Saccharomyces cerevisiae S288C: one gene and its partners. The gene in region 3 interacts genetically with the main gene of each other region. Each region holds a gene or a part of one and is shown on either strand. Other genes may lie near its edges.

The links. Genes that interact genetically often act in the same process or in processes that back each other up.
Region 1: mutations in PRS5 (region 3) and OCA5 together harm fitness more than expected from each alone (negative genetic interaction), as found in Saccharomyces cerevisiae (2 studies listed by BioGRID).
Region 2: mutations in PRS5 (region 3) and OCA4 together harm fitness more than expected from each alone (negative genetic interaction), as found in Saccharomyces cerevisiae (2 studies listed by BioGRID).

Annotation. Positions count from the first base shown.
Region 1 is NC_001140.6:45,429-49,701, forward strand, and holds OCA5 (Oca5p), read right to left. Parts: upstream 2,541-4,273; coding exon 501-2,540; downstream 1-500. Other genes in the region: ECM29 (Ecm29p), read left to right, coding at 1-262; WSC4 (Wsc4p), read left to right, coding at 3,335-4,273.
Region 2 is NC_001135.5:287,670-290,911, forward strand, and holds OCA4 (Oca4p), read right to left. Parts: upstream 1,590-3,242; coding exon 501-1,589; downstream 1-500. Other genes in the region: aminophospholipid translocase regulatory protein CDC50, read left to right, coding at 1-268; YCR095W-A (uncharacterized protein), read left to right, coding at 1,970-2,128.
Region 3 is NC_001147.6:210,216-214,703, forward strand, and holds PRS5 (ribose phosphate diphosphokinase subunit PRS5), read left to right. Parts: upstream 1-2,028; coding exon 2,029-3,519; downstream 3,520-4,488. Other genes in the region: CRT10 (Crt10p), read right to left, coding at 1-50; APM4 (Apm4p), read right to left, coding at 305-1,780; MAM3 (Mam3p), read right to left, coding at 3,802-4,488.

The DNA.
Region 1 (4,273 bases), on a different chromosome or scaffold from region 3:
TATCTCGATAGTTGGAAGATTTAGTACCATAAGTAGCGCTGACTTTATCCAAAATGTGGGGAGACTATGGGATCAAACTTTTCCAATAAATTGTAACAAGGAAACCATTGAGAATGTGAAATTGCAGATGATAAAGTTCGGTGGCCTGATCATTCAGAAGATTCCAAGCTTGCAGAACAATATCGAGGAAAACTTACGGTTGTTGAACAGTATTGATTCAACGAGCAGAATTGAGTTGGAATTGAAAAATATTGGTCTATGAACTCCGAAACTTTTTCATATTGATAAATAGAACAGTTAATAAAACTTATCTAGAAAGACGTTTGTTTATAAAATAATGTATAGTATCGGTACTAAATATTAACTTTTCCGAAAAATCAAAACATCAAAGTATTCAAAAAGTGCTTGAAGAATATTGATTAGAGATAAAAATTCGTATGCAAGGTGTTAAAAATTGTGTAGAAGTAGTATATAATTCTAAAGGAAATAATTTCAACTTTTCAAAGAGAGCTTTCCTCTAACTCTCTCCATAGCCATTTCCTCCAAATATCCCCAGCCATATTTAAAAGATCATCAAAACAATGGGAAGCCTTAGCATCATTACCGACTTCGATTAACATGTGATAATTCGAGATATGGGCACTCGAATTGGAACTGGATTGTAATGACGCCATTGTAGAAGTAGTCGGTGAAGAAGGCAAACTGGTTATGCTAGATTCTGTATTCTCGTATAACTTCCTATAGGAAGAGTCATCAAATTTTGTTAGCAGAGGAACGTTATTAAGAAACTCAGAAATTTCCGCTTCTTCAAATTCTAATAGCTTAAATTCGTTAAACTGCAAAATCGCGATGAAAATGAAAATCAATTGCATATGAGGATCAATGGAAGAAAACGGTAGTTTCAATTCTGACTTATCATTTGAATCACTACCAGGAGATGGTACTGTGTTGTCCTTTTGAGCTTTGCTTTGAGTACCTCCGTATCTATTCCTTAAAATTAATTCTTTGAAGACACTATAATCATAGGGAAATTTTTTCGAACCTAGTGCCATGCTATCCAGATCGGGGAACCAAAACGGATCATTATTGTACAAAGCGATCCAATCTTTCATCCAGTACTGCTCGTTGTCACATTGTGGTGTATCGTGATAGAGGTGATCCATTTTCTTATCGTTATAGTTCAAAAAGAAATTTATCGTGTCCATGTTTGGTTTGGGCCTCCAACCGAGCAGCAAATCCCATACACGCCCTCTATCTTGTCTTTGTAAAGCTTTAGCTCCAGAGCATTTCAACCACCAATATATCCAGGAGTTTCTTGACGACGAAGGTTGTAAGGAAGATTCCTCTGTCAAAGGTTGGTACAGCTCTGGCAAAATTGAAGAGAATACCTTGAAAAAAACTTGGGTCTGAAATGAAAGATCGCCACCAGATATAATAGGGAAATAATTTGTGTTGAAGTTTGAGTTTGCCTTTGAGCTGGAAGATGCGTTCGAGTCATTTTTCAATTGTTTGTGTGCCAGTATGGTATCAGGGCAATGTAGAATGACAAGAGCTAGTCTTTCGAAAAGGGCACTAAATGAGAAAATTGGTTTTGTAGGCAATTTTGATCGCAGCTCAAAGGGTAACGGATATTCCTTATAAAGATATGATAACGTGTGAGAAATGTACGGAGAATTGTGCAAGCTGGTATTTGTGTTGATGCTCAAGTTGTGCATGCCCGATGTTATATTCGTGTTATTGTTGTTGGTGTTGTTGCTAGAGGAGTTGCTATTTCCGTTATTGCCGTTGTTAGTGCTTAGAAGAGCGTGCTTTCTTCCGCTCAGAACTACATAATCCTCCACTTCGTAAAATGAATGAGTCTCGTTGAAAGGAGACATGGTTTCGTAGGGATAGATGGGATACCATTCAGCCAATCCCAGAGCAATCCAGGCAAGACCGCTTTCGTACTTGAAGATTTTTGACCACTTCAGCAGAAATTTCACGATGGCATTTTTCAAAGTCTCGATGATCTGGAACTCATAGTCTAATGAGGGAGACAGTACCTCCATAGAAGAAATAGTGGAAGCGTCGGACGACGAAACAGGTGTCGGGGTGGCGATATTGGTGGTGTTAGCATTACTCGATGAGCCAGCAGGATTAGACCTGGAGTGGAAGTATTTTTTCAAATCATGCAGGATAATGGATTCGATATCGTACGGGAGAATATTTTCATCGTCGCTCTTGTCTTGCTTATCGGTTGGAGCCTTACTTTTCAGAAAAGGGTCATTAAGTATGAAATCATTGGTTATTGGGTCCCAAGAAATGGTATTGGAGGTAATGTTTGGTGAAATGCACATTGGGTGGTACTTCAGCAGGATCGGCCACACGACGTGTCGCAACTGTGGTGGAACCCCGTATGTTCTTGCTAAAAAGGCCAATGAGTCATGGTCATTGCACTTTACTAGATGGATAGTCGTTTCGATAAGGTTCTTGTTGCGAAACTGCTGTTTTAGATTTTTCAAGTAGTGGGAATTCGCCATGGGCGACTTCTTGTCGTGCATATTTGCTAGCGAGCCCTTTACCCTGTAACGTCTCTAAGAAATTTCGAATAGTGATCTACAGGTACGTCTGAGCTATTATCAATTTCTACCAGGAATTTGAAGCTCCCACAGAATAGCTTCCAAGAAACCTGAAAAAAAAAAAAAATGAAAAATATGTATCATTCCTCACGAATGAGTCCATTGCTTTCCCGTCTCAAATGATTGAGAATATATCGTATGATAACGTAAGAGTATTCAGTATCAACGGCAACAACAACAACAACAACAACAACAACAGCACAACAACAGCACAACAACATCGAACGGTTGCTACTGCGACGTTACGGATTATATCCACAGTATATGGCGTGCAGCGATAAGGCTCGAGACACCGTTCTGTACGGACCTGACGTTGACTGTGAGACACAGACGGGGCCGCGGGAACCCTTAATGTGGTTCCCGGAACGGAATGAGTACGGTGAAAAAGGGAATCAGGAGGCACGGTACCTGCATATTGCGCCTTTTTTGGTTTCCCCTTCGGGCAGCAAGTGTTTACTGTAGGATAATGGTACTATTACGGTATTTCCACTTTGGGCGACGTTAAGATACGGGCATGAATTAAGGTAAGCAAATCCTTTTGTTGCAAACAGCAAGGTCGTTATGTGTAAATATATATATATATGCGTTCTGTGCTAGTGTGATTTGCCCTGCTTCAGGGGCGGGTGCAGTAGGGAGCTCATGACAGCAAGTACATTTTGTTTATTTTTTAAAAGGAAAGAAAGGCTAGATACCTCGAATTACAAAACCAAAAACGCATGCAGACGTCAATGGTGAGCGCAAAAGTTAGTATATGGCTAGTATGTAGCGTTATATGCAGTAGCCTGGTACGGGCTACGCAATCTGTGTGTTCGTCGCAAAACACAGCGACCACTGACGGTGTACGAAATCAATTTCAGAGTAATGGTTGGTGTTCAAATAACTGTGCTGGTCATCAGTTTGCCATCGTACAGGGGTTCATGTGCTGGTGCAGTGATTCGGAACCGAGCACTCAGACATCGGTGGGAGACTGCAGTGGCACTTGTCCCGGTTATGGCTACGAAGATTGTGGTAATGCGGATAAGGATCTTTTTGGTTATATATATCTGGGGCAAACCCCGCTAAGTTCTGTACAGAGTGTGGAAACGTCAACAGAGTCCAGTGTGTACGTTTCAAGTAGCTCTATCACGAGTAGTAGTAGTACGAGTATTGTGGACACAACCACAATCTCGCCGACTCTGACGTCAACGAGTACGACCCCATTGACAACCGCCTCAACCAGTACAACACCATCAACTGATATAACATCGGCACTGCCCACGACTACAAGCACAAAGTTGTCAACATCCATTCCCACAAGCACGACATCGTCAACCTCTACCACCACAAGTACCTCATCGTCGACTTCTACGACCGTAAGTGTCACATCATCAACATCTACCACCACAAGTACTACGTCGTCAACCCTCATTTCCACGAGCACATCATCATCATCATCATCAACTCCAACCACAACATCGTCAGCCCCCATTTCTACAAGCACGACGTCGTCAACTTCCACTTCAACAAGTACAACATCGCCAACTTCTTCTTCAGCACCTACAAGCTCGTCTAATACAACACCAACGAGCACAACGTTCACTACGACATCACCCAGTACAGCCCCTTCAAGCACTACGGTTACTTACACCAGTACCACAGCATCTCCAATAACGTCC
Region 2 (3,242 bases), on a different chromosome or scaffold from region 3:
GTTGAATTATCCGATTTCACTCTTTGGTGGCACAAAATCATTTGTACTGACTACAAATGGAGCTATTGGTGGTAGAAATATGTCACTAGGCGTACTGTACCTCATCGTTGCAGGGCTTTGCGCCTTATTTGGCATCATTTTTTTGGTTAAATTAATCTTCCAACCAAGAGCGATGGGTGATCACACTTATTTGAATTTTGATGATGAAGAAAACGAGGATTATGAGGATGTACACGCAGAGAATACAACATTGAGGGAAATTTTATAGAGGCCAAAAAACAAACTTTAGTGCCTGTAGGTATTTGTGTTTATAAGTAAACAAGTTTTGTTGACTTCCTGAAACGTAAACAAAAGAAAAATTGAAGTATGCCTTTTTACGCTTGGAAAATAGTGCGACAAAGAACTCCCAGGGTTTGCTATTCCCATTTAGATGATGAAATGATAGAAAAGTGGAAAACGTTTATCATGAAATCATCTATACATATACGTAAAAATGTAAACTATGTAAAAATATGTTCCCTATAAAAGTGATGCTCTTCCGGAACGTTTTCTTTTTCCCACAAATCTCGTTGAAACCTGAACCAATCTGGTAATTCAGAATCACAGGGTATCCTTATTTTGACGTTATCTTTTCCCCTTGCTTTATAATAGCCATAATCTCCATTTTCTTTTTTATTAAATGCTAATCTATACCTATGGCCAAAAATTCCTAGGTCAGAAGAGGTTTTCTTCAAATCGTCTCCTAGAACTCCACTTACTTGTAATACTTTATTATTTTTCACTTTGGTTTCGATTTGATTTATTAATGTCAAAAGCCGCTGAGGCACTTCTGGCTCTCTGCAAAGGTCATCTTCATTTACTCTAATAAGTTTGCCAGAATTGGCCTTATACTCTATCGAATGCGTCCTATTATTCTCAAGGGGCAATTTTTTTGCTTTGTTGTCCACAATTGTCTTATTATCCTTCTCCTGTTCTATCTCAATGTTAATTATTTCTAGAAATGTTTCCGCAAAATAATTTCTATTCTTACCAGAAAATAATCTGTACTCATTTATGATTGATGCAATATTCCATTTCTGAATTTTTCGAAGTATACCAATGACCAACGCGGTCTTATCTACCAATAAAACATTATAATTATCCACATTCAATAATGTTTTGAAAGTTCTTTTTAAACACGTGCTCTTAATCAGCATTAAGTCATCATTGTCAGTCAAGTGGTAAGCCAATTCCTCCTGAATTACAGGATCCCCTGTAGTAGAATTTTGTGACCCATTTGCAGTGGATTTTTTCTTTTCTTCCTGTAATGATAGAGTACTGTTATTATTCGAATATAAATTTGCGTTAGATACAGAAGAGCTTTTTACCGGAACTGCCGCAGCCGAGAAATCAGACATCCTTAAAACAATCCATTTTATGGATGATCTTGTGAAAAAATCTTTGAAAAACTTGGATGGTTCTTGACCTCCAATAAATATAGCTGTCTTTAAATTGAGAGTTTCCAGAAAGGATAAATTTAATGTCTCCACTTTAGAACATCTATATATTCCTTCTTCAGCAATCCCAAAGTTAGCAGGTGGAACCAGCATTATGAATTCAGGTTATGGATCGCACCAGTGCTGTAAGTGTCTCTCTTTTTATTCTACGATCTCCATATAACAACCACATCTCATTTCTTTACCTTACTGTCCATTTAATGCTAGAAAACTTCCGAATATTGTATTATTATTACCCGGATATGTCAAGGCGGTATATTAAGATGTTCCTTTCAAAAGTTTCATTATACCGCATACGGTAAGGACAGCCATAAGTAGTTTTACTGATAAAATATGGGGCTAAAGAACTGTATATTTATGGATAGCACTAAAAGTAAAGATTTTCCCCGTGTCCTGACTTGGAGAAACAAAATTTCATTGTCATAAAAAACTTTTAAAATATGATATTCAAAGCTTGAGCATTGGGCTTCTGGATGACAGTTCTAATCAAGTTGGGTCTAAGGATATTGCATGTATACAAAGGATTCTTTCGGAAAGTAATCCTGAAATATTTTTTTTTTTCGTCTGAACATACGAAAGTAAATAAAAAAAGTTCAATGCATGCCTTCCTATGCAAGATTTATAAAAGGTGAACAGGTCAGGAGCAGCCACATCTCAATAAAGGCAGTTAAAGACGGTGATGTAGGTGCAGAAAGAGAAAGTGAACAAAGGATGATTTGAGATGTGTAATGATTCGTTTGAGCAGCAACAACTGCTAAGATATTCATACTAATAGGCCACTTCACACATTATGCCTTGGAGAATATCCTGCATTGCTCCTTTTATAGTATAGTCTATTCAGCACTAACAAGCAAAGCGAACATAATGGTAAAACTAACTTCAACTGTTGCTGGTGTCGCCTGCATCGCTGGCCCTCCCCTCCACTACGGCCATTTTAGCACAACTTGAATGAGTCAACTTGGTTGAGTTGCATGTTAACGTCTCTGATATCAGAGCTCACTTGCTCAATAATACATGTTACAAACTGCCCACTAAATTGAACACTCTAACATTATATTGACCTGAATTATTTGAAACGAAGTCAACAGAATGATCACTGATTTTCCAATGTACTCCGCTATGTTGAAGCTAGCCATCTTAAGCGATCAATGACGGTGCTCAATCATTCTTCGAAATGGGCTAAAAATGACAGTTGAAATATATTCTTTACGTTCATTTTTTTTCATACTGCAAACCCATTCTAGAACCAATGGTAAAAGTGACGGGAGTTGCTTTCTTTTACTATTTCAATGATAGCTATAGCCTGCATACACACAAAAGAATGTAAGTGATTGCGTGAAAGCTTAAAGTCTTAAAACTGTATTTTTTTCAACTCCTCCCATATATTAAACTGGTCCTCACAGTTCGCAGGATAACTAACAATTAAAAAAATTGTTCATATGGTTGTATTTCTTTCCGTCTCACATTATTAAAATTCAACGAAGAAGTTTCTACAATAACAGACAAGGGCCTACGATTACTATGTACTGGAAGGTGAGTCTTGAATTCATCCTCAGAGATTGTTCTAAAGACCAACAGAAATCCATATAGATTACCGTAGTTACTCTGATGGAATTTCAGAGTAAGACCCTTGTCAACTTCATCACTTTAAGTTGAGATGTAGAAAGACACTTTTGTAAGGTCTCCAACAAGTATATTTGATAAATAGACTGTTGAGCTACAAAAACTCAATGTGAAGTAAAAGAC
Region 3 (4,488 bases):
AGCCACCTTGTAAAGAGATCATCATTTTCATTGGGAATCTGAGGGGGCATTATATTCAAAACCAAATTTTCAAGCCTAGAAGTACCAGTGCCTCTTGATTGCGCTGTTGATCTTCATTACTATGGTGTTTTTGGTGTCTTGTATGGTTTTTCCATGTTTTTTCCCTGTTTTCTTTTCAATGAAAAACTAAATTGCATGTCTCTCATAATAGAAAATATTCAATATTAACAAAATGTGCATTCTAAAGGAAATTACTATAAAAAATACAGGCATGATAAAAATATATGTACACAAAAATTACGGGCTAGTACCTCACCTCGTAAGAACCGGCTTTCGATATATATTTAATCCATTTTACAGCACGATGCTTACTGTCTTTTCCAGAAATGGTAAAGTATCGTACGACTAAGCCAGAATTACTGAACATCATGACCTCGAATTCCAGGGATATTGGAGGTCTTGTCCATTGTTGAAGATTCAATTGAGTAGTATCACTTGTGGACACAGTAACTGCACTTAAAGTGTTTTCCGTCAACCCATTGTACTTGTTGAACCTCCAAATCATTGCATTTTCTTCTGGCACAAACTTACAGTGGCCATTAGAGACACTTATCTTACAATCCACAGTGCTTGGTGGAACGGGTATATGTAGTACCACATCTTTGGCGGAAAGTTTTCCAGGAAATAAAGACTTCAATGTTATCCTGTAATCAATCTCGTTATCTCTTGTAGAATGTGTAACAATAGGTGTAACCTTGAACGGCAGGTTTATGTTATCTCGTACATGATATTTCATCAACTCCATCGAACCGTCTGGTGGGACGAATTCAATGATATGATTTCTGTTAAATTTGTCAAGTGAGACACATTCGTGAAACTTGCAATCTTCCAACAAAACACTACCGGCAGCAGCTTTGGGAATGAAGTTCTTGTTTCCAAAATCGCTGCCAGAGTGACGCTGCTGCTGTGCTAACCATTTCTTCTCGTCTTCGGACTGCATTCCCAAAGAATCATTCAATCCAAATCTACAAATAGGGGTCCCACTCAAGTGTGTGGTGATATCTATGGTGCCATCAACGTATGATTTCAAGATAGAACCATCCCTAGATACCAGAATGTTTATCCTCTCATTGACATACAAGAAAACTTCATCCTTCTTGTGTATTATCCCCTTGGGCCTCCAAGTGATCTTATTGTTATCATAGAAATCAGAAGTGGAGTCTCCTTGACCCAGGAAACTACTGCTTCTTTTTGTCAAAAATTTGGGAAAATGTAGTTCTCCTGCTGAAGAAGTAGGAGATGAAGAGGAAGATAATACATCATTTCCATCGGGACTATCTAACAATCCGCCCATATTTCTAACGGGTTTCACAGACATCTGCGCTATAACAGAGTTCAATTCAGTGTCAATTGGTATCCCATTTCCACCCAACATTATATCCAGCATCTCATGCACAATCATGAATTCCTCTTTCAAGGCCTCCTCTCTATCCAATCGATAAGCATTCATCACTGCATCAAGCTTATATAAGAACTCCCAGATCGCCGCACTATTAGCGTTGCTTCTCGTAATGGTTACCAACCACAAATTGTCACCATGCCTCGACCTGATGTGATGGAAAGTAGTTGAGCCCAGTGTCAAAACAGGCGATCTAACATCTAGATTATTGATCACTTGTACTCGGAAGATATCGGATATGGACCGCTTCAACGAGTTCTTGAAGAACTTGTTCAAGACAAGTTCACCTCTCGATGAGTATACCAGCACACCACTAATCATTGCTCACCATAACTCTATGTGATTCTTTTCTCCAACCGTTTATGAAAGGTTTCCACACTTTATCATCAAGTTCTCCTATACTAATCAATTAAGGAAAATATGGCTGTTACCCTTCGACCGCAGTTGAAAAAAATTTTCTATCAAATAATAAATGGCTACGATTAGCGAGAAGGGCTGGATGAGATGAGAGTAAGTTGGTCGAAAGTGACTTTGTTGGAGGTTGCTACGAGGCTAGGAACGCAGTCTGGATGTCAATGAGTAATATTGTTGTTTTTGGAGGGGACTCGCACCCCGAGTTAGTTACTAAGATCTGTGAAAATTTGGACATTCACCCATCGAAAGTAGAATTAGGGAAGTTTTCTAATGGGGAAACGAACATTGCTCTTCGCGAATCTGTTCGTGAAAAGGATGTATATATCATCCAGAGTGGTTGTGGCCAGGTGAACGACACGTTCATGCAGTTGCTGATTTTAATCAGTGCCTGCAAGTCCGCTTCTGCCTCGAGGGTTACAGCCGTAATGCCATATCTCTGCTACTCGAGACAGCCAGATATTCCATATACTGCCAAGGGTGCTCCCATAATTTCCAAGCCTAAAGAAAACTATACTTTTGAATCGCATCCAGGCACACCCGTGTCATCTTCTTTAATGACGCAAAGACCAGGTGCTGAGAGCTCGTTGAAGAGTTTGGATAGTGCAATACGATCAACTATCAACTTAGAAAATCCTCAACCTATCAGAACACCAAACAGCAGTGCTACGGCGAATAACAATTTCGACATCAAGAAGACGCTTTCTTTTTCAAGAATTCCTATGATTCCCGGTGGTAAGTTACAAAATACAAGCAATAGCACGGACGCTGGTGAATTGTTCAACGCTCAAAATGCAGGCTATAAGCTATGGGTAGTACAAGCCGGTACTTTGATTGCTCATTTGTTGAGTGCTGCAGGTGCTGACCATGTGATCACAATGGATTTGCACGATCCACAGTTCCCTGGGTTTTTTGACATTCCAGTGGATAATCTCTACTGTAAACCCATTGCACAAAACTACATCCAGCATCGCATTCCAGATTATCAGGATGCTGTGATCGTTTCTCCAGATGCTGGTGGTGCAAAGAGAGCTACGGCTATTGCAGACGCCTTGGAATTGTCCTTCGCCCTAATTCATAAAGAAAGAAGATCTCAGTTATTGAAGGGCCCTCCAGATGCGACGTTAACCTCTGGTGGTTCGTTACCAGTATCTCCAAGGCCATTAGTTACTACTTTGGTTTCCTCCCAAAATACTACTTCTTCAGGTGCCACTGGGGTTGCGGCCCTTGAAATGAAGAAAACAACTTCAACATCTTCCACCTCGTCGCAATCTTCTAATTCGTCCAAGTTCGTTCAAACTACCATGCTTGTTGGCGATGTTAGAAACAAGGTGTGTATTATAGTCGACGACTTGGTGGATACTTCATACACTATTACAAGAGCTGCGAAATTGTTGAAGGATCAAGGATCTACCAAAGTTTATGCCTTAATAACGCACGGTGTTTTTTCCGGTGATGCGCTAGAAAGAATCGGCCAAAGTAGTATAGATAAGTTGATCATTTCTAACACGGTTCCTCAAGATAGAACACTACAGTACCTAGGTAAGGACAGAGTGGATGTTATTGATGTCTCCTGCATAATCGGTGAAGCAATTAGAAGAATCCATAACGGTGAATCCATTTCTATGTTGTTCGAGCATGGATGGTAGTGGCATTGATGTGTTCATTTTTTTATTGATAAAAATAGGGGAAAGTGTCTATATATTTTGCGTATAAAATTCTCTACATTTTTTTTTCTTTGTTTAGTATGTGTATTGAAACATTTTATTTATAGGTTAGAGAAACAAAAAAAAAAAAACTGCAATTTCTTCTTGTATGTCTGTAGAAAAAATTTTAAGCTGCTCTCCCCTGTGATTTCATGCGTCTGGGACTAATAAGAACGGTGATGATGGTTATTATGATGCATGGGCAATTCTTTTGGCATAATCTCTTCATCTTTTTATGGTCGACGAGGAGCCGTTGGCATCATAATTGGAAGTTCTTGACAAAGAGTCGGTGAAATTAGAACGATCATTGTTGTTAGCGTTTTCGTTCTTAAATTTATTCTTAATACTGGAAAATAAACTTGCATTTGAACTTGAACTTTCTCTATCGTCACTTCGATTAGAATTCTCTTGATTGATATTCTCGTTTCCATATTCACTTTTGGATTCGTCCCAATCTTTTGCGGGGCCAATGATGGTTTTTGGAACACCTTTGACTGTGATGACAGATTCCACAATACCATTCTTCGTATTTTGGTAAGAGGTTGAGATTGTAACGTTTTGATTTTCGTTGCCGTGATTCGCGCCAGAATTTGGAATTGATATACTATCAGGGCTATTTCTCGTGGTTTTAGTCGAGGTAGTAACTTGAGTTGGTTGACCCGACCGTTGAGTATGGAGAACAGCTTGGCGAGATAGCTCTGCATGATCACTTAATAGTTGTTGTTCTTCGGCGGAGAGTGATTTATCATTTGAGTGTGGTGCTGGAGAAGGCTCTTTGCTAGAATGAGGAGTGTGTGTAGTAATGATTTTCGGAACATTGGCAGGCTTTTTAATGGTAACAAAAGATTTATTTACGTTCAACGGGTTGGACGCTAGATTTGAAGGTATGATGGTGCCATGTTCCGTCACTTG